Rattus norvegicus: one gene and its partners. The protein of the gene in region 2 interacts with the protein of the main gene of each other region in a pairwise test. Links are inferred from orthologs where the notes say so. Each region holds a gene or a part of one and is shown on either strand. Other genes may lie near its edges.

Region 1 (4,187 bases), on a different chromosome or scaffold from region 2:
CACACACACACACACACACACACACACACACACACACGAAAAGCGCAGCAGTTGGGGAGGGGTGCTTCAGGCTTACTCTGATTGGATGTTGCTGTCTAGAAAGCAGGAGAAGGGCTGGAAGCAGGGAGTCATTGGCTTAGAGAGCGTATTTGGCTTTCTCTGATTGGTCTCAAGTTGGAAGCAGCGGTAAAAAATATGGAAGCTGCTAGTCACTGACTACGAGTATTGACTGTTCAGGACCCCTTAACGAGTGATCTAGTATGGAGTCGTATTGTCACAAATGATTTGACCATTGTCAGTATTTCCAGCCCTCCAGCAGCGTAGGACGCAGGTTTTTCACTTCGGCCCAGCTCGATTTTTACTTAACACACAAGAAATGTTTGTTTTACTTGAAACAAGACTGCTTTCTAGGTTAAGGATAAGACCTCAGGATCTGAGAATCATAGAAACAAATGCACAGATAGCTGTCTGCAGTGAGGGTCAGGCAGCAGAATCTACTGGTTTCCCATTTTCACAGCGAGACCTCCCTCGTAGAGGCGACCCGCCCTTCTTTCTAGAAGAGTGCCACTGCCGGCAGGAGCAAAGGGTCACCTCGCCTGCACTCTGGGCTTGGTAGCCCACGACCTAGGGCGGGCTCCCGGTTCACGCTTTCCCCGCTGCCTCGCCGACAGCCTCGGCCCTTCAGGCCCAATTTTTCTGCACGTCCCTGGGTGGAGGTGCGCCCTGGCCTCGCAGCAGCCTCCCGGCCACCCCAGGTCAGCTTCCGGACCGGCGCAGGCTGCCCTCCGAGCGCGTCCCCGGTCAGCAGTCAGCAGGCGTCCCCTCCGCCCGGCCCGGCCAGCCCAGCTCAGGAGGGACGAAGGCAAGGACGACACTCCCCGGCCACCATTCATTTCCCCACTGGTCTCCTCAGCTCTGCAGGCAAGCTCTCCAGTCCGTCCGTCCGTCCGTCTGTCCGTCCGTCCGTCCTTCCCGAAAACAGCCCCGTGTTTCCCTGAGCTCGGTCCCATCAGTAACGAGTCTCTCCCGACCCTCGCCCGCCGCGCCCAGGAAGCCGTGACGCCGCGGCGGCTGCAGCGGCGGAGCTCTCGCCATCTTGTGTGGAGGAGGAGCCGCAGCCGCCGCCATGCGGAGAGGCTGGGAAGGAGGGAGGGAGACGACAGCGGCGGGCGAGGGAGGGGGCAGAGCAGCAGAGTCAGCTCCGCTCAGCGGCGACATCCGGGGCGCCGGCACAGCGGGCTACGGCCGAGGTAGCGCGGGACGGCAGCGGCGGCGGCGGCGCGGGCGGCGAGCGGCGCGGCGGGGGCGGGGCGGCGGGCGTAGCGGCGAGGGGCCGGGTGGGGGCGGGCGGAGGTTTCCGAGGAGGAAGGAGCCGCCGCCATTTTGGGAGCTTCGAGTCAACAATAAAGGACCGAGGGTGCGGAGCGGGAGTGGCCTGGGTGGTAGGACTCGGGCCCGAGCCGCGGGGCGTGGGGTGAGGCGGTGTGGTCGGGGTCGGTAGGGCCCTGAGGGTCGCGGGGAGCCCCCTCGGGCGGGAGTCAGGGCGCGCTTGGGGCGGAAGCCCGAGGCCCAGGCCTGGCCCGGGAGGACGGGCGGGTGGCCGCTGAGAGGAGCAGCGGCGGCGGCGGAGAGGAGTGGAACCGAGGAATGTGGTGTGTGCCCGGTCTGGAGGAGGAGCGGTGGAGTGCTCTGGGCGAGCGGTGTGGTAGACGGGAGCGGGGACGGAGCGGCGGCCGGGACTCCGGAGTGAGGTTGGGAGTGCGAGGCAGCCCTGTTGGGGGCGGCAGGGCTGTGCTGTCCGGAGACTGGGCTAGGAGAGGACCCGCAGCTGCTCGGTTGCAAGTAGGCCTTGCAGGTTGGTGGGAACATAGGGTTTGGGGAGACTCAGCGGCGTAAGAGGAAAGGGGAGGCGGTCCAGTTTTTGGGGTTCTCTTCCGGGCCTTCTGAGGGGAGTCCCTATTGTTTCCCACTCGCAGAGCTGGTTCCGGCTCTTGTGGCGCAGATAGATTGCAGGGCAGAAAAAAACCCTTTTGCGTTTTGATCTGAAGGAGCTGGATTTGTAGAGTGTAGTTGGGGGAGGGGGAGAGGAATTATTGCCCTACGGTTACTGGACTCCGAGTCTTAGCTTGGTTTTTCCTTTTCCATAGCCCCCCTTTTCCTTCAGAAAAACCCCAATCACTCCAACTTCCTGCTGAGGCTTAGAGAAATCGCGCTGTATTTGCAAACAAAAGCCCTTGTTGGAGCTTATGGTACTGTTTTAGGTGTGAAACTGTCAATTGCTAACCACGGTCTGGGCCGTGCTGTAATTAACTCTGCCAGGGGCTCCTCCCAGCTAAGTCTACGTTCCTTCGTGGTTTTGTTTTAAGACTATAACTTGCAAATCTAAATTGGGAAGGGGTAGGACGAATATTTCCCCAACTGAGACATAAAACTGCAGTGCAGGTATCTGTTTCTGGAGAGAGCAGTTATCGAAGTCTCTGGGTTTAAGGCACTGGGTCTTACTGGGCTTGATTGACAGTACTGATGGTGTCCGTTAGTATTCAGAGGTTGCCCCCTTCAGCCTCTTAGTGCTGTACAAATAGGAAGCCTTCCTGTTTGACGTACCTCATACTGTTGATCATATGCTGTCAATACAGAAAATGCCTATTAACAGAACAAATAAACAGCTTTATGTGATAAGCAGCATTTGTGAGCAAGTTGATATATAACGAGATATCCTTTGACTTGAAAATTTTGGGTTTGGGACACTTGGTGTGTGGCAAAGATAACTAGCACTAATTAAGCTAGTGTTTTGGGAACCAGTGAAATAATGTAAGGGGGTTACAAAATAAAACTGAACGAGTTGGGCTTATACTGGTCCTTAGTAATTTTTTATTTGCCAAATTTTGAGAATTCCATTTGGGGAACAATTTAAAGTAGAGGAGGTTGACCAACTCTTTCTTAAAAATAACTTAATTAGACTCGCTATTCAGGGTGATTTGGGAGAATTTTATTAAAACTACAAGTTTAGCCCTCTGGTTTTTCTTTCCCCTTTTACTATAGGACACACACACACACACACACACACACACACACACACACACACGTACGTACGTACGTTTAAACTTTTTTATTTTTCCTTTTCTTTTTTTCGGAGCTGGGGATCGAACCCAGGGCCTTGGGCTTGCTACGCAAGCCCTCTACCACTGAGCTAAATCCCCAACCCCTAAACTTTATTTTAAATTAGGACATACTTTTTGAAAAGTGTTATAGTAAAAGGCAACACTAACAGCTTTCATTCAACTTTTGGTATTGGGGCTTTCTTTTTTCTTTGCCCCCCCCCCTCCAGTTGAAGAGAATCTTAGAGTTTTTCAAGCAGAAGATTTTTGATATGTAGACTGCTCCATACAGATCTTTTGACTGCTTCAATTATTTTGGTCAGGACAAAATTCAATAAAAAAAAATTGATTTCTGTAATTGAAACTGGTAAGAAGACTTCGTATTTGAAAAGTCTTTTCATTTAAAGGTTTTTGTGTTGCTGTCAGAAATAGAAAGATGTTAGTGAATTGTCTTGTTCAAATCTAGATGTACATGAGGTAAATTGAGTGATATTTCAAGTTTTAATGTAATTAAATGTAATGACATTTAGAGGGGGCAGGACTTGGAGAGAATTCATTAGGAGATTGAAGAACAGATTGTTATTTGAGAATGAATTTGAATTTTATCAATAGTATCTTCCTGCCTTTTTTTCCCCCTAAGTTGCTTTGTTCTTGCAATTTTAAATGTTTGAGGTTGGATTTTTCGTAGGTTGGGTTTTTAAGGCAGTTCTTCGCTATGTCTTTCCTATGTCAAGTAGTGATCTGGTTTGAGTATGTCGATTAGTGGTTCTTGAGAAGATGACCATTGCAGAGGAGTTCTTTAAAAGGGAACAATTTCTCCCCCTGACTTTGTGGTCTGCTAATTTAATTTTTTTCTTTGTTTCAGATTGAAGTGAGTGAATTCAGATATAATTCAAGCTTGTTAGAGCGCTTTAAAAAAATACAAAGTTGATTCGTTGCTTGAGAGCAAGTTAACTACTGCTGCTTACCGGTGAGAGACTTACAGGTGCTTGCCTGAATTGCAATAAAGGACTCATATATTGAGCAAGACTTATTTATCTCTTCATTTTGGAGAGCCTCATAAACTGTTATTACAGTTTCTCTACTGAC
Region 2 (4,061 bases):
GACTTGGAAAGCCATGTCCTCTGTATCTCTGTTCAACTGGCTTCTTGTTGCAGCCCACTTGGCTTTAAGAAGCTATGGCTCGTGCCCATGAGAACCAGCCTAGCATACAGCCATGCCCCCAGGTTTGCCCTAGTGTATTTAGCAGGCTTCTCACTAGGATCAAGGGGATGCAGTGCCTTGGACACAGCACGAGGACACAGTCCCCACCCTCCCTGCTGACTGGCAGGTGGAGACACTCGCCCGTCTTACACACGTGCAGGCTGCAAACACCGGCTAAACTGCAAGGGCTGTGCATCAGGCTCTCACCTGAGGGAGTGGCAGAGACCGTATCTTCCTGTTCTTCCCGTTGTTCCTGTTAGGGAGCCACCAATGCCTTAAGTAAACAAAGCAGAGAGACTGCCAACCCGCCTGAGCCCTGAGGACAGATGGACTTACCCAGGATCCAAGCAAGGGGGTGTAGGCCTGGATTCTTTCCACAAAGTCCCTTCCTTTTGACCGTAGCAGGAACTGGCACCTGGAGAAGAGAGCTCAGAAGGCAGGACTGGTCTCTCAGAGCCCCACTGTCACATTCGAGCCCTGAAAGCCTTTGGGATTAGGTCATGCCTTCTGTTCCCATGGAACCCACTACTTCCTGTGACAGGTAGTCAGGGCTGTATCCCCCATGGCACCTGCTAGCAAGGCTATCCTGGAGATGGGCTCTGAATACCTAGGTGAGCACCTAGAAAAGGATAGCGACAGGGAAGTACCTACCCTAGCAGCCCACCTAGAGAGGGCTCTGTGAAGAGTGAGGTGTGAAGAGATATCTCAGGACCATGGGAGATGGGGAGGCTGTACAGAGTTCTTTGGGGGCCCTTCTCATTAGCCAGACCCACAGCAGCCCACAGGGCCCTTACCTGGGGAACCATCGTGCATGCTCTGTCCAGGGGTCGTCTCCACGTTCCCAGCTCTGTAGACCCCCGTAGCAGAAGAAACATCTCACCTTGTCCTGCTGGCCTGGGTATGGCAGAGACACACAGCTGGTAGCCCCACCTAGCTGACAGTTCCAGGGTGTCCCTCCATGACCATCAGAGCTTGGGCATGCGGGACTGGAATCTGCCAGTAGGTTAACAAGAAGGGAACAAGGCACATGGACACCTCTCTTGTCTCAAAGGTGAATAAAGACAATGGCCCTGGGGCATGTGTCGGGATGGCCTGAGAATATTCCGGAAAGGTCGAGCTAGCATTTGTGTTGTTCTCAGAGCGTGTGGGTAGGGTTGAGCCAAAGGCTTGGAGCATCTGCAGCCTGGGAGTGCCAGGGCCTCCGAGGAGGACTCCTAGTTACAGGATAAGGAGGTGACCCCTTCCCTACCAGTTTGCAGACAGATTTTGGTTTTAGTGGCTCAGGCCTCAATCATCTCTGCTCTGTGCCCCTCCCCCAGTCATAGGAAAATGTGCCCTTCGTGACCTTGAGCAGAAGTTCCAAATAGGATTGCTTACAGGCAATGTCCCACAGAAGGCATCCATGGTCCACAAAATCCCCCTGACATCTTTTGGCCCCAAGGATGCTCCGTTTTAAAGGGGGCTCCCACCATTCCAGACATTGACCTTTCCTAACCAGTGTCTGATTCTCCTAAATCAGTATGGACTCTTGACTGGCCAGTGCAAGGAAAACAGCTGTTTCCTCCCCTGCTGCTGCCACAGGTGAACAATTTCTCTGGTTATGCTCATACCTACAAAGCCCCTCAGCGGGTCTCACTGACTCACTTCCCCTCAGCCAGGAAGACAGCCTGAAATCCTACTGTGAGTGAAGGGCAGACCAAGCTCAAGGAATGCTCTAAATTTATAACTAGAAGAGGTACTCAAAGGATTTATCTGGAGTTGGTCCCTGCACTAGCCTGGTACTTGGGAAGCCTGGAGGATTACCTACAAGATGAGCACTGGATGGTACAAGCTGACCCCTGCCCCGTAGAATAGATTCTGGCTCTGTGGCTTTGGGTCAAGGGATGAAAGGGATTAATCAGCTCTATAACCAAGCCTGAAAGGCACTGATGACTGTGGGGATCCCCGAGGAGTGTGGGAAATCCTCAGAACCATGTAAGCCAGGCAAAACCACCAGGTCAGTAGACTCCGCATGCGTAAGGGCCCTCAGAACAAGGCCAGCATAAGCCCAGGATTTCATAGCAGCCTTGAGTGGGGTAGACCCCAAGCCCTGGCCGGGCAAGGGTGACAGAAGTACCTTTCATTAGTCCTCCCTCAGGGCAGGAATGGACAAAACCATTTGCCTGGAAGAGCGCTAAGTAGCATCCAGACCACAGCAAAAAAGACCCCAACATTTACCTGTGTGGAAGAAGCCGGCAGCAGCCAATGGCTCAGGCTGAATCCCTGCAGTAGATGGCCAGTCGTAGAAGGAGGCTAAGCGGAGATCCTCTGAGTCCATCTCTGGGAAGGCAGGCTCCCCGACGAAGGTAGCCCCAGAGGATTCTTCCTCTTCTGACAGGGGGCGCAACTGGCCTAAGATCTGCCCATCTAGGCAGTCCTGGCCCAGGACACGGTTACAAGGACAGTGGGGTCTATGCTGTTCCTGTGTGGGGCCATTGCTCTCTTCCCTGTGGCTTAGTTCTGGGCCACAGAAGGAGTCCCTGTCCTTACTCTCAGGCCCCATGGGTAGGACAGCAGCTCGGAGCAAGCCTGCAGGCGAGAACATCACCAGCCCTGGAATGTGCCTGGTGACTTACCTCTCCAGCTCCTGCCTCTAGTCCTTTCTAGAAGCTGTGGAGGCTCCTGCTTCTAACTGTAAGCATATGCTGCTAGATGTTCAGATGCAGTGGTGTTCAGGGATGTGCCAGTTTCTGAAAGAGGCCAGAGTGGCAGCCACGTGCTGTCTGCAGCATGTCATGGGGCCTCCTGGCAGGCACATAACAAAGGCAGTACTCTACCAGGCAAAAAGCATCTCTCAATAGGGGGAGGGACCAAGCTTGGGACCTCTCCAATGGAATCCCCTAAGCCTCAGGAAGCAGGTCGTGAACACGGACAAAGTGGAGGAGAGGGACTCTAGCCACTCAGGGTCCAGAGTGAGTAGAGAGAGACCCAGACGAGGACCTGCAAGGTAGGAAGCTAGGTTGTCCAGAACAGAATGCAACCCCACCATTCCTTCCATACCAAGCCTGTGCTGATGTTCAGGGATGACCTCATCACTGGCTTATCTTGTCCCTAGCACTTAGGAGATTCCTGCTTGGCTCAGCCCTGAGTCAGAGTTAGTCCACCTATCTGGTCACAGGTTGCTCTTTTTCTGTCTAGACAGTCTACAGTCAAATCAAAGGTGGGGTATGCCCTGGCCTTTGTCTGGAGGAGCTCAAGGTTTGGATTGTGTTTGTTCTGGGCCAGACATTTCCACTTGCATTGTGACATGGAAAATCGCATCCCTAAATGAGCTCTGCCCCAGAACCAGATCTTCTCTTCACTAACCAGCCCCAGGTGAGGGATTCCATTGATGCAGAAAAACAGGGAACAGAGAGGAGGGTCATTACCCCAGAGACGCCATAGCTACAGGTTGGGACCCCTGGAAGAGGCAGAGAAGACCCAGGGGCCAGCTCTGCCCTGGCTTGCACTGTAACCAGGTTTTCGCACAAACCTTTACCCTTAAGTAGCTCTGCATGGATTGTGAAGCTTTTAGTATTGTGAGTTTTTAATAATATCTTTATTAATTCCTTGAAAATTTCAGGCAAAACTGGGCACGGTGCTTCCCAGCACTCCAAGGCAGAGGCAGGCAGAGCTCTGAGTTTGAGTCCAGCTTTTCCAGAGCTAGTTCCAGAATACAAAGGGGATATCCTGTCTCAAAAAAAAAAAAGAATTCCACTCCAACTTCATGCCCTTTTTCTTTTTTCTTTTTAAATGTATAATTAATTGAGTCCAATTTGTGGTGTCCGTACACATATGGGTGTGGGGACATCCACGGGAGCATGGTCAACCTACCAGGGGCCACAACCTTAAAGAAAACTGACCCCCCCCTCTTCCAGAAGCTTCCAACTGTCAATAGTCCTTTAGTTAGAGGTTGGGTCTTGTGAGACATTGTGAGGTAGGAT
Region 3 (4,242 bases), on a different chromosome or scaffold from region 2:
GGGTCCCAGGGAGCACGCATTCCTTGTTCCAAAAACCCCAGTTCTCAAACTTTAGAACCCTTACCTCCCCCAGGAGCAGACTGTCCCAATTCTCAGAGGTGAAGGGGAGGATCTCTCGGTCAAAATCGAAATATTTCTTCTTACAGCAAACGCTGAGATGGTAGAGAACAAGATGGGCCACATCCACCCTGGAGGAGCATGAGATTGTCAACAGCAGCAGCATTATGGAGTCAGGAGTCATAGAGTAAAATGGCGGAGAGCACCATCCTTCTCACCAGCGAAGCTGTAACCTCCGTACTTTCTCAGGGCCGCCCCGGCACACACAGCATTCAAATTCATAGAATCTGTATATGGGTCAGGACAGAGGGACCTCACTCAACCCTCCAGTACGAGCTGCAGAGGGCTAACTAGTCAGTCGGGAGCGCGGGAGAGAGAGCACCCCAGGCTCCTGTGCAGTCTCCCTGGATCTCACCTGTCTCCGTAAAGGAGGGGCTTGCTCAGACACTGGGTGCAGGCCTCATGGAACCACTGGAGGCAGCTCCGGCATTGCAGCATTTTCAGGTTCCACCTCAAGGGGAAGACAGCGCCATGGCCCTCAGCCTTCTTCAAACCACAGGGCCCCCCCTCACCCTCTTCGCTCCCCTCTGTCCTGGGCTCTACCACCACAAAACACCCATGCCGTGGCTGGCCCTGCTCTTCCTTCACTTACTCCCCCGGGCCCCCGCAGTAACAGTAGCTCTGCTGCCTGTTGCTCAGATGTCCGGCGTCCCAGTCCAGCCCTTTCAGACCGTACGGCAGGGAGAGTTTCATGCCCAGCATGGCCCGGGCATAGGGACCCTTCTTCAGGGCACCTCCCCTCTGCAGAGGAACAGAGGGAAGCCTCAGAGGGCAGGGAAGGAGGAGAGGTCACGGGAGGCTCCCACACAAGCAGGCAGAGAGGTGCCTTTACCTTTGTGGCAATCGCAAAGACACACTGGCGGCAGACCCAGGAGCTGCCCTCTCCTTCTCCAGGGGCTGGGGCCCTGGGGACGTGACAGTCCTGGTGATAGGCTGAATGAGGAGAGAAGGCCACAGAGTGGCCTTTAAGTCCTGACCAGGGCATTTAAGACCGGTCCCGCTGGCAGGTCTCATCCTGACACTCAAGTTGAGTCAACGGGCTTCTAGCAGTTGAGGACCTTGCCCAAGGAAGCTTGGTTAAGAAATGTGAGCGAGCTACGGTAGGCCCTCAGCCTTGTCACCTGCATCCACGCTCCCTCTCCCTGTACTGAGATGAGGTGACAGGGTGAGGACTGGCCCAGGCAGGAGACGTGCGTGACTCACGCTATGAGGGAGGGTAACCCTTCTAGTGGTAACCCAGAAGACCCAGGGCAAACTGCACCCCCTAAACATCCCGCCCTCTCACCATGGCGACACTTCTCACAGCTGACCAGCCGGTTCCCAGGGACCACGGTCTCAGAGCGACACACACAACAGAGGAGCTCCTCACCAGGAAGGGCGGCTGTGAGAGAACAAAGTGTCAGGAGGCCCACTTCAACCCAGCGTCCCCATCGGCTCCAGCTGCTGCAGAGGGAAGCTGTGCTTTGAAGGGTCTCACCTGGGCTGATGTCCTTCCATAGAACTAGAAACTGGGAATCATCCTCAAACTGGACCAGACACACCTCCCGCGCACTGTCCACCTGGAGTGGATGACCAAGACCGTAAAGTGGGGGCAGGAATCAGACCGGCCTGGGAAGGCAGGGGATCAGAGGTGGGCCTCACCTTTTTGATGGTGCCCAAGTACAGGAGCCCATCAGTCCATCTTGCCAGCACATCTTGACCTTCCCAAAGCCGAGGTCTGGGGCCTGAGGTGGGAGCAGGGGAGGCTGGGTCCCAAAGAGAGGGAGCACCCAAACGGCTCAGCCGGGGGAGCTGCGCCATTGCATCCTGGGGTGGGCTATTCTGAAACAGGATGGTTAGAGTTTATGAGCGCTGAGAAAGTGTCCCTGTGTGGGTTGTTTTCTGTTACGGATGAAGAAACCCTGACCCTGACCAGGAATCTCCAACCCCAGTCTCGTAATCCTTTAGAACCCCGAGGAGGCAGGTCGTTCTGGTCAGCTTCTCTACTCCACTCCTTTCCATCTCCCCTGCCTAGCTCCGTAGTATCCCAGCTCCTCCGGACCTCCGGTGGAAAAGATGTTTGCAGAATCAAGGTTACCACTTAGTTTCACCTTTCCCAGCTGTGTAGAGGTAGCCTAACTGGGGCAATCTGTTGCCCGGAGATGTTTTGGGAGCTTTTCTAAAGACGTTAAAGGAGTAGAAACAGCTGCCTCCCCAGGCTTGTGTGTCTTATTTAGAGCCACCATCCTGGTGCCAGGTTATGTTAGGTCACCCTCAAATTTGGGGCTCCTTGACCTGGGATTAGATAACTTCCCTGAGTGCCCCAGGAGGGGGGCGTGTCCCTGTCCAAGTCTCTACTCCCCTACACTGCCAGTCCACGGAGGGACTTGAGTCGCCCCAGCACAGATCCCAAACTGGGACCAGGAGGCTCCCCCAGCCCTTCCTGCGCACCGACCCCCGGTTCCCTGCCCCCCCCCCTCCGGGCCTCCCGCCTTCTCCTTACCGGTGACAGCTGGGGCAGCTGGAAGCCAGGTAGGGGCAGACCCAAGAGATCTGGGTGAGTCCCCGGTGCGGGAAGACTGAGTGTGAGCGCCGAGGGGCGTGCAGGTGGAGGCCAGGGGGGTCCCCGGGCCCAGCCCCTCCGTCCTGGCCGCTCTGGGGCGTATGACGCAGCAGCCAAAGCAGCAGCAGCGGCAGGAGGAGTCGACAGAAGGAGGGAGGAGAGTGGAGGGTGGGGAGCACCAGTGGGAGGAGACGACGGAGGGGCGGGTAGGCAGCACCTCCCTCACCTCCAGTAGGCCCGGAGGGCGCTGCGCTATTGGAGGCGCGGCCGGTCGGGGAGGACGAGGAAATCCCTGTAGCCCCCTTTTCGGATAGGAGGCTTGCTCTGAGGGCAGCAGGAAATAACCTTCTTGGCAGCTAGCCTGCAGGTCAGGGCCGGGCCCCGCCCCATGCCACATCCGTTAGTTGCCCCGCCCCCGTGGCCACTCCAAGCTCCGCCTCCGCACGCGGAACCGCCCTCCTCATTCACGCTTTCTGTTGCCCCGCCCTTCTGCGCACGCGTAGCCCCGCCCGCGCGCCGCACCTGGGCACACAGCCACTCCTCCCGCGGCGAGCACTGGCATGGCCGTGCTCCTCTAGGAGGGAAAGGACCAGAGGCTACTTGGAACTAGTACTGGGGCGGTGACGCGCCCACACCAGCCAATGGGCACTAGGCGGCACGGACCGAACCATGGTTCGAACCGGTGGGCAGGGGAAGTGAGAGATTTAGTTGGTCACAGAGGGCCCGGTGTGGGCACTATGGGCACAACTCCCTGAGCTGAAGGACAGAGGAGAGGCACCAGGGCAGGCAGCAAAGTTAGTGTGTCCCTCCAAGTGAAAGCCCATAGCCTCCCTCACTCTGCAAAACAGGTCAAAATGGACATTTCTACATCTTACGGTATTTACTCACAATACTTCATCTGGCAGCTACCAATATTAATAAAACCATTAAGAGCTGTAACAGGGTCTGGAAAGATGGCTCAGTGGTTAAGAGCACTTACTGATCAGACCCCACATCGATGGTCAAAACTGTCCATAATTCCAGTTCCAGAGGCCCCGAAGCCTCTTCTGAACTTCAAGGAGCAGGAGACATGCACATGGTGCACATGTATATACTCAGGCTAAACAACTGTACACACACAATTTTTTAAATCTAAGATTAAGAAAAAAATTAACCTACACCAAATTTTCTTTATTTGATAGTTGGGTACATAATGTTGTCCACCCAATAAAATCATGTCTCAGCCCCGCCCCACCCCCGTGTTATACATATACACAAAACAGACACGCACACCCGCTTGCACAGGAGCCAGGCTCTGCATCCATCTTCATTTCTTATTAGCCTGAGCAGTGCCGATCACGCACTGGTTCACCTGTGGATGGACCAGTGAATAGGGTTACACGAGATCACTGCTTACAATCCGAAGTCTCCCATTCTGCCCCAATGCTGGGCCCACTGTCTGACTCCCTGAAATAAGGACTACGGCAGCAGGCTCGGCCTGACCCCCTGGAGGGACAGTGGTGCTGTGTCCACTAACCTGGAGGAGACCAGCAGTCTGAAAAGATGATAGAGATATGCCCGCTGGTCATATGTCAGCATGACAC
Region 4 (4,255 bases), on a different chromosome or scaffold from region 2:
GCTAAAATCGGGAAGCGAGTGTAATATCATCTTTTGACATATTCCATGGTGGATTCTTGGCTAAGGGTCTATCCCAGTTCGGGTTTGAATCTCAGATGCCTCTGTTGGGGGTCAAGCTGTGAGATCCCTAACACATGTCCACAGCTGTCAGCAAGGAATAACTATTATCGGGAATATGTCAGGGATAATAACATGGCTAGCTGGGACAACACCGTAAGTGGCTAGCACGATGCTCAATTATTTTTTAAAAATGATTTATTTACTTAATGTATATAGGAATCTTCATGCACACCAAAAGAGGGAATCACCTTCCATTATAGATGGCTGTGAGCCACCATGTGGTTGCTGGGATATGAATTCAGGACCTCTGGAAGAGCAGCCAGTGCTCTTAACCACTGAACCATCTCTCCAGCCTTGTTCAGTTACTTTTTAAGTCGTGGAAATGAGTGGTACAAAACTGAGAGAACAGAGGACTAGATTCCTGGCAGTTTCTATGTGGGAGGTGCTGAGGAGGGAAAGAGAAGAGAGCGAGATGGAAGTCTGTGGGCTTAGTTTGCTGAGGCAGGATAGCCTGAAAAAGCAGGAGGCGAGGTTTTACTAGCCGCAACGGAGGAGGGCGTTAGAAGAAAGCCACAGCCCGCAAAGGACTTGAAAGACGTCTAGACATGGTTTCTTCCTTTTCCTCTCGCGACCCTTTGAGCATCTGTAGAAATAGGGTCACCAGTGAACTTTGTTAGAACAATCGCTGCTAAGCGGAACCAGCAAATGGGCGGAAGGTAGCAAGGCAAACCTGGGGTTTGGAACCCTAGGGGCGCCCTGGGGGAGAGTGTGGGAGGAGAAGGCCGCATGGAAAGTCACGTGGGTCGCATGGGGGGCGGAGCAACGTTACGTTTGGCCGCTGTTAGAGGCGGGCGAGAGCTGGGCGAGGGAGGGGCGTGAGGAGAGAGCGCTGCAGGGAAAGAGGTGGGGTGAGGCCTGAGTGCCGGACTAGGAGAGAGTTGGAATAGCAAGATGGGGGCGGGTCCTGGAGGCGGGGACAAAGGCAAAAGCAGAGAAGGGGGCGGGCCACGGGGCGGAGCGAAGGAACTCCATAGGGCCGGAGTGCTGGTCTATGAGGCAAGGAAGAGCGAGTCTTATATGAGGCGTGTGACGGGGCGGGGCTTGCGTGCAGCGCCAGCAGGCGGAACGAAGCAAGGACATCTTGGGGCGTGGCGAAGGGGCGTGGCCTGAGAGCGCGGGGGGTGGGGGTGGGGGGAAGGGGGGACGTGGGGGGAGTGAGAGAGGTGGGAGGACTGGTGAAGCGGTGACGGGGCCTTCGGAGCTGAGGTGGCTGCGGAGGTGGAGCCGAGTGAGCTTGAGGGACCGGCCTTGGGGCGGTGACCACTGGTCGGAGCGTGATCCCTAGAGGAGCTATGTGGGGGCGGGGCGTGGGTGCCGGGGCGGGACCCGAGGCCCGGAAGCGGACGGAACCAGGGGTCCAGCAATCCGCTAGCCATGGAGGAGGCTGACCGGCAACTCCTGCGGCGATGCAGGGTACGCCTTGTGCGCGAACTGCAAGTCGCGGAGCTGTGGGACGCTCTGCTGAGTCGTGAGCTCTTCACGCGCGACATGATCGAGGATATTCAGGTGCTCCCCCGCTCCCTTGTGTCCGCCGCTTTTCCCACGGCGCCGGTAGGGACTGGGAGGTCGCAGAGAGGTTCACTGAAGCCACCGCTACGGAGCTCCCGCCCTTTTCTCCCGCTTTGCACGGTGTGCAACCCAGGCCCTGGGAAACCATGGTGTGGGAACTCCATTTTTAAAACCTTCCACAATCCAGCTCTTTTAATCCTTCAGAAGAACCCAAGCACCTCTTTTGTGGAGTGCTCGCTAATGCCACTGTAACCCACACCTTGTTAGTAGTTTAGCCTCTCTGTAGAAGGGTCCTAAACACCCACTTTAGGTTTATACTGGCTCATTGTACTTGTCACTTGCCGTCTTTGAGCCTCAGTTTCCTGGGCTGTGAAATGCAACGGTGTCATCCTGTTCTAGGATGAATGAGATAACCAAGGTGAAGCACTTCTGTGGGGCCACAGCCCCAGGACCCATGTCTTTTTTTTTAGCTGGGCTTTTATCCAAGTGCATGCTTTATAAAGGATTTCAGAAAAGACGGACATTGATACAGGTACCACCGAAGAATACAATCAAACATTTGATTTTTAAAAAAAATACATTTGAGCTTCTTTGCTCCAGTTGATGCCTCACTGCAAGTCTGAAAAGGGAATATTTCTTTTTGAGAGGATATGAGTGTCAGGCCCTGGGGAACTGTCTAGAAAGCTGTCTCCAGCATCTGGATTGGAACCTAGTCTGGTCTAGTGAAGGAAAATAGAAGAAAGTGGTGTAGAGTCATGGGGTTAACTACCAGATAATAACAAAAGTAGTCTCAGGAACACTTTCGGAGGGGCCCATGCTGGCCAAGGAAAGTGGTTTGAAGGGAAAGCCCTAGTCTTCCAGAAGGCATATTAAGGAGGATCAGAAGCCGAACTGTGCAGGGAGGCACCAGCGGCCTCTGTCGTATTTCCTTCTCCAGCTAAGTGTGGTCAGAGCAGTGTCCGACCTAGTGTTGGCAGTGGCAGGCTGTTTGAAAGGAATGGTTTGTTCCTCTGGAATCCCAGCCCTCAGGAGGTAGAGGCAGGAGGATCAGGTGTTGGAGGGGATCCTTGGCTACATACAGAGTTTGAGATCGAGTCTCTGGAAACCAAAACCAAGGGCTGGAGAGCTGCCTCAGTTGTTAAGAGCTTTGATTTCAGTTTTCAGCACCCACATGGTGGCTCACAACTATAACTGTAGTCCCTGGGATCTGACACACTCTTCTGGCCTCCTTGGGCACCAGGCACACACAGTTGGCACATATACATCTAGATACACACACATATACCTACCTACCTACCTACATACATACATACATAGTAAATGTTTAAAAGCAAAACCAAAGCAAGAAGCTAGACATACAGTTTATTTGGTACAGTGCATGTCTAGTATTCGTGAATCCCTGAGTCTAACCCCTAGCCCTATAAAACCAGGCCTGGTGACTCTGGAGTCAGGAGAGGCAGAAGTTCAAAGGTCATCCTCAGCTATGAAGGAACTTGAAGGCCAATCTTGGCTACTTGAGAACTTTTCCTTCCCCCACACAAATATGAAAGTCCCCCCCCCCCAACAGAAACTTCTTTTCCTCCAAAAACAGAGATGTTGGAGATCTTGAATTCTACATTTAATTCTCTTATTTTAATGTTAGGAACAAGTTTAGAAAGTTTGAAGTACCTCGTCCAAACTACTGACCACCATTTTGCTACTTTTAGTAGGGCTAATTAGCACTTAGCACAGAGCTGGACAAACACACAGTAGGTGTCATTGACAAGCAAAGACTGCAGAGGGACATGAACTCAGTACACTGCTAGATTAGTTTCTGTCTATCTACCACAGGCATATTAAGGGGGATCAAAAGCCAAACTGCGCGGGGAGGCACCAGCAGCCTCTGTCCTTCTCCAGCTAAGTGTGGTCAGAGCAGTGTCGGACCTAGTATTGGGAATGGCAGACTGTTTGAAAGGAGAGACTTGTTCCAGGGGTGGTGGTACATACCTGCAGTCCCGGCACTCACAAGGTAGAGGCTAGGTGAGAAGCGGGAGGTAGGGTGACTGTAGATGTCACTGGATAATGAGTGTCTGGTTTTCTATCCAAACAGCGGGCAGGCTCTGGGTCTCGGCGGGATCAGGCCAGGCAGCTGGTCATAGATCTTGAGACTCGAGGGAGGCAGGCCCTTCCTCGCTTCATCTCCTGCTTAGAGGACACAGGCCAAGGCTCTCTGGCTTCATTCTTGCAAAGCAGTGGGCAAGCAGCCAAGCAGGATCCAGAAGCTGTTACACCCCTAGACCACCTGGTGCCTGTGGTCCTGGGACCAATGGGACTCAAATCAAAGGAGCAGAAAGTAGTGAAGCTGGACCCATCTCAGCCTGCCTTGGGAAACCTCACCCCAGTGGTGCTGGGGCCGGAAGAGCTCTGGCCTACTCGGCTCAGGCCAGAGGTTCTCACACCAGAAACACCCAGGCCGGTGGACATTGGTTCTGGCAGAGCTCATGATGTCTGTGAGTATCAAGAGAATGTTTGGCAGGTGGGTGCATTGAGGTTACTGGGGTGTGACTCTGGGTACTGCCCCGGTTGAGATTCAGGATTTAAATGTAACGTTTGTCTTAATGAACGCTCACAGGAGAGACGTGGACTC

The links. The genes of interacting proteins can lie anywhere in the genome.
Region 1: the proteins of Birc7 (region 2) and Ddx6 interact in a two-hybrid assay, tested with the Homo sapiens proteins (3 studies listed by BioGRID and IntAct). The two-hybrid records come from large-scale screens. The link is inferred for Rattus norvegicus from reciprocal best matches to the Homo sapiens genes BIRC7 and DDX6.
Region 3: the proteins of Birc7 (region 2) and Phf1 interact in binary tests that used the Homo sapiens proteins (3 or more experiments, as listed by UniProt). The two-hybrid records come from large-scale screens. The link is inferred for Rattus norvegicus from reciprocal best matches to the Homo sapiens genes BIRC7 and PHF1.
Region 4: the proteins of Birc7 (region 2) and Casp9 interact in binary tests that used the Homo sapiens proteins (3 or more experiments, as listed by UniProt). The two-hybrid records come from large-scale screens. The link is inferred for Rattus norvegicus from reciprocal best matches to the Homo sapiens genes BIRC7 and CASP9.

What each region holds. Positions count from the first base shown.
Region 1 is NC_086026.1:53,827,363-53,831,549, forward strand, and holds the start of Ddx6 (probable ATP-dependent RNA helicase DDX6), read left to right. Parts: upstream 1-1,386; 5' UTR 1,387-1,474; intron 1,475-1,513; exon of another isoform or gene 1,514-1,652; intron 1,653-1,715; exon of another isoform or gene 1,716-1,855; intron 1,856-3,963; 5' UTR 3,964-4,187.
Region 2 is NC_086021.1:188,424,138-188,428,198, reverse strand, and holds the start of Birc7 (baculoviral IAP repeat-containing protein 7), read right to left. Parts: upstream 2,808-4,061; 5' UTR 2,684-2,807; coding exon 2,317-2,683; intron 994-2,316; coding exon 894-993; intron 515-893; coding exon 436-514; intron 353-435; coding exon 307-352; intron 1-306.
Region 3 is NC_086038.1:5,018,534-5,022,775, reverse strand, and holds the start of Phf1 (PHD finger protein 1), read right to left. Parts: upstream 2,802-4,242; 5' UTR 2,600-2,801; intron 1,939-2,599; coding exon of another isoform or gene 1,918-1,938; coding exon 1,759-1,917; intron 1,677-1,758; coding exon 1,595-1,676; intron 1,499-1,594; coding exon 1,403-1,498; intron 1,051-1,402; coding exon 950-1,050; intron 859-949; coding exon 710-858; intron 569-709; coding exon 473-568; intron 345-472; coding exon 276-344; intron 189-275; coding exon 65-188; intron 1-64. Other genes in the region: kinesin-like protein KIFC1, read right to left, coding at 3,966-4,010. UniProt on the Homo sapiens protein: Polycomb group (PcG) that specifically binds histone H3 trimethylated at 'Lys-36' (H3K36me3) and recruits the PRC2 complex. Involved in DNA damage response and is recruited at double-strand breaks (DSBs).
Region 4 is NC_086023.1:159,390,620-159,394,874, forward strand, and holds the start of Casp9 (caspase-9), read left to right. Parts: upstream 1-1,454; 5' UTR 1,455-1,494; coding exon 1,495-1,626; intron 1,627-3,718; coding exon 3,719-4,118; intron 4,119-4,255. UniProt on the Homo sapiens protein: Involved in the activation cascade of caspases responsible for apoptosis execution. Binding of caspase-9 to Apaf-1 leads to activation of the protease which then cleaves and activates effector caspases caspase-3 (CASP3) or caspase-7 (CASP7).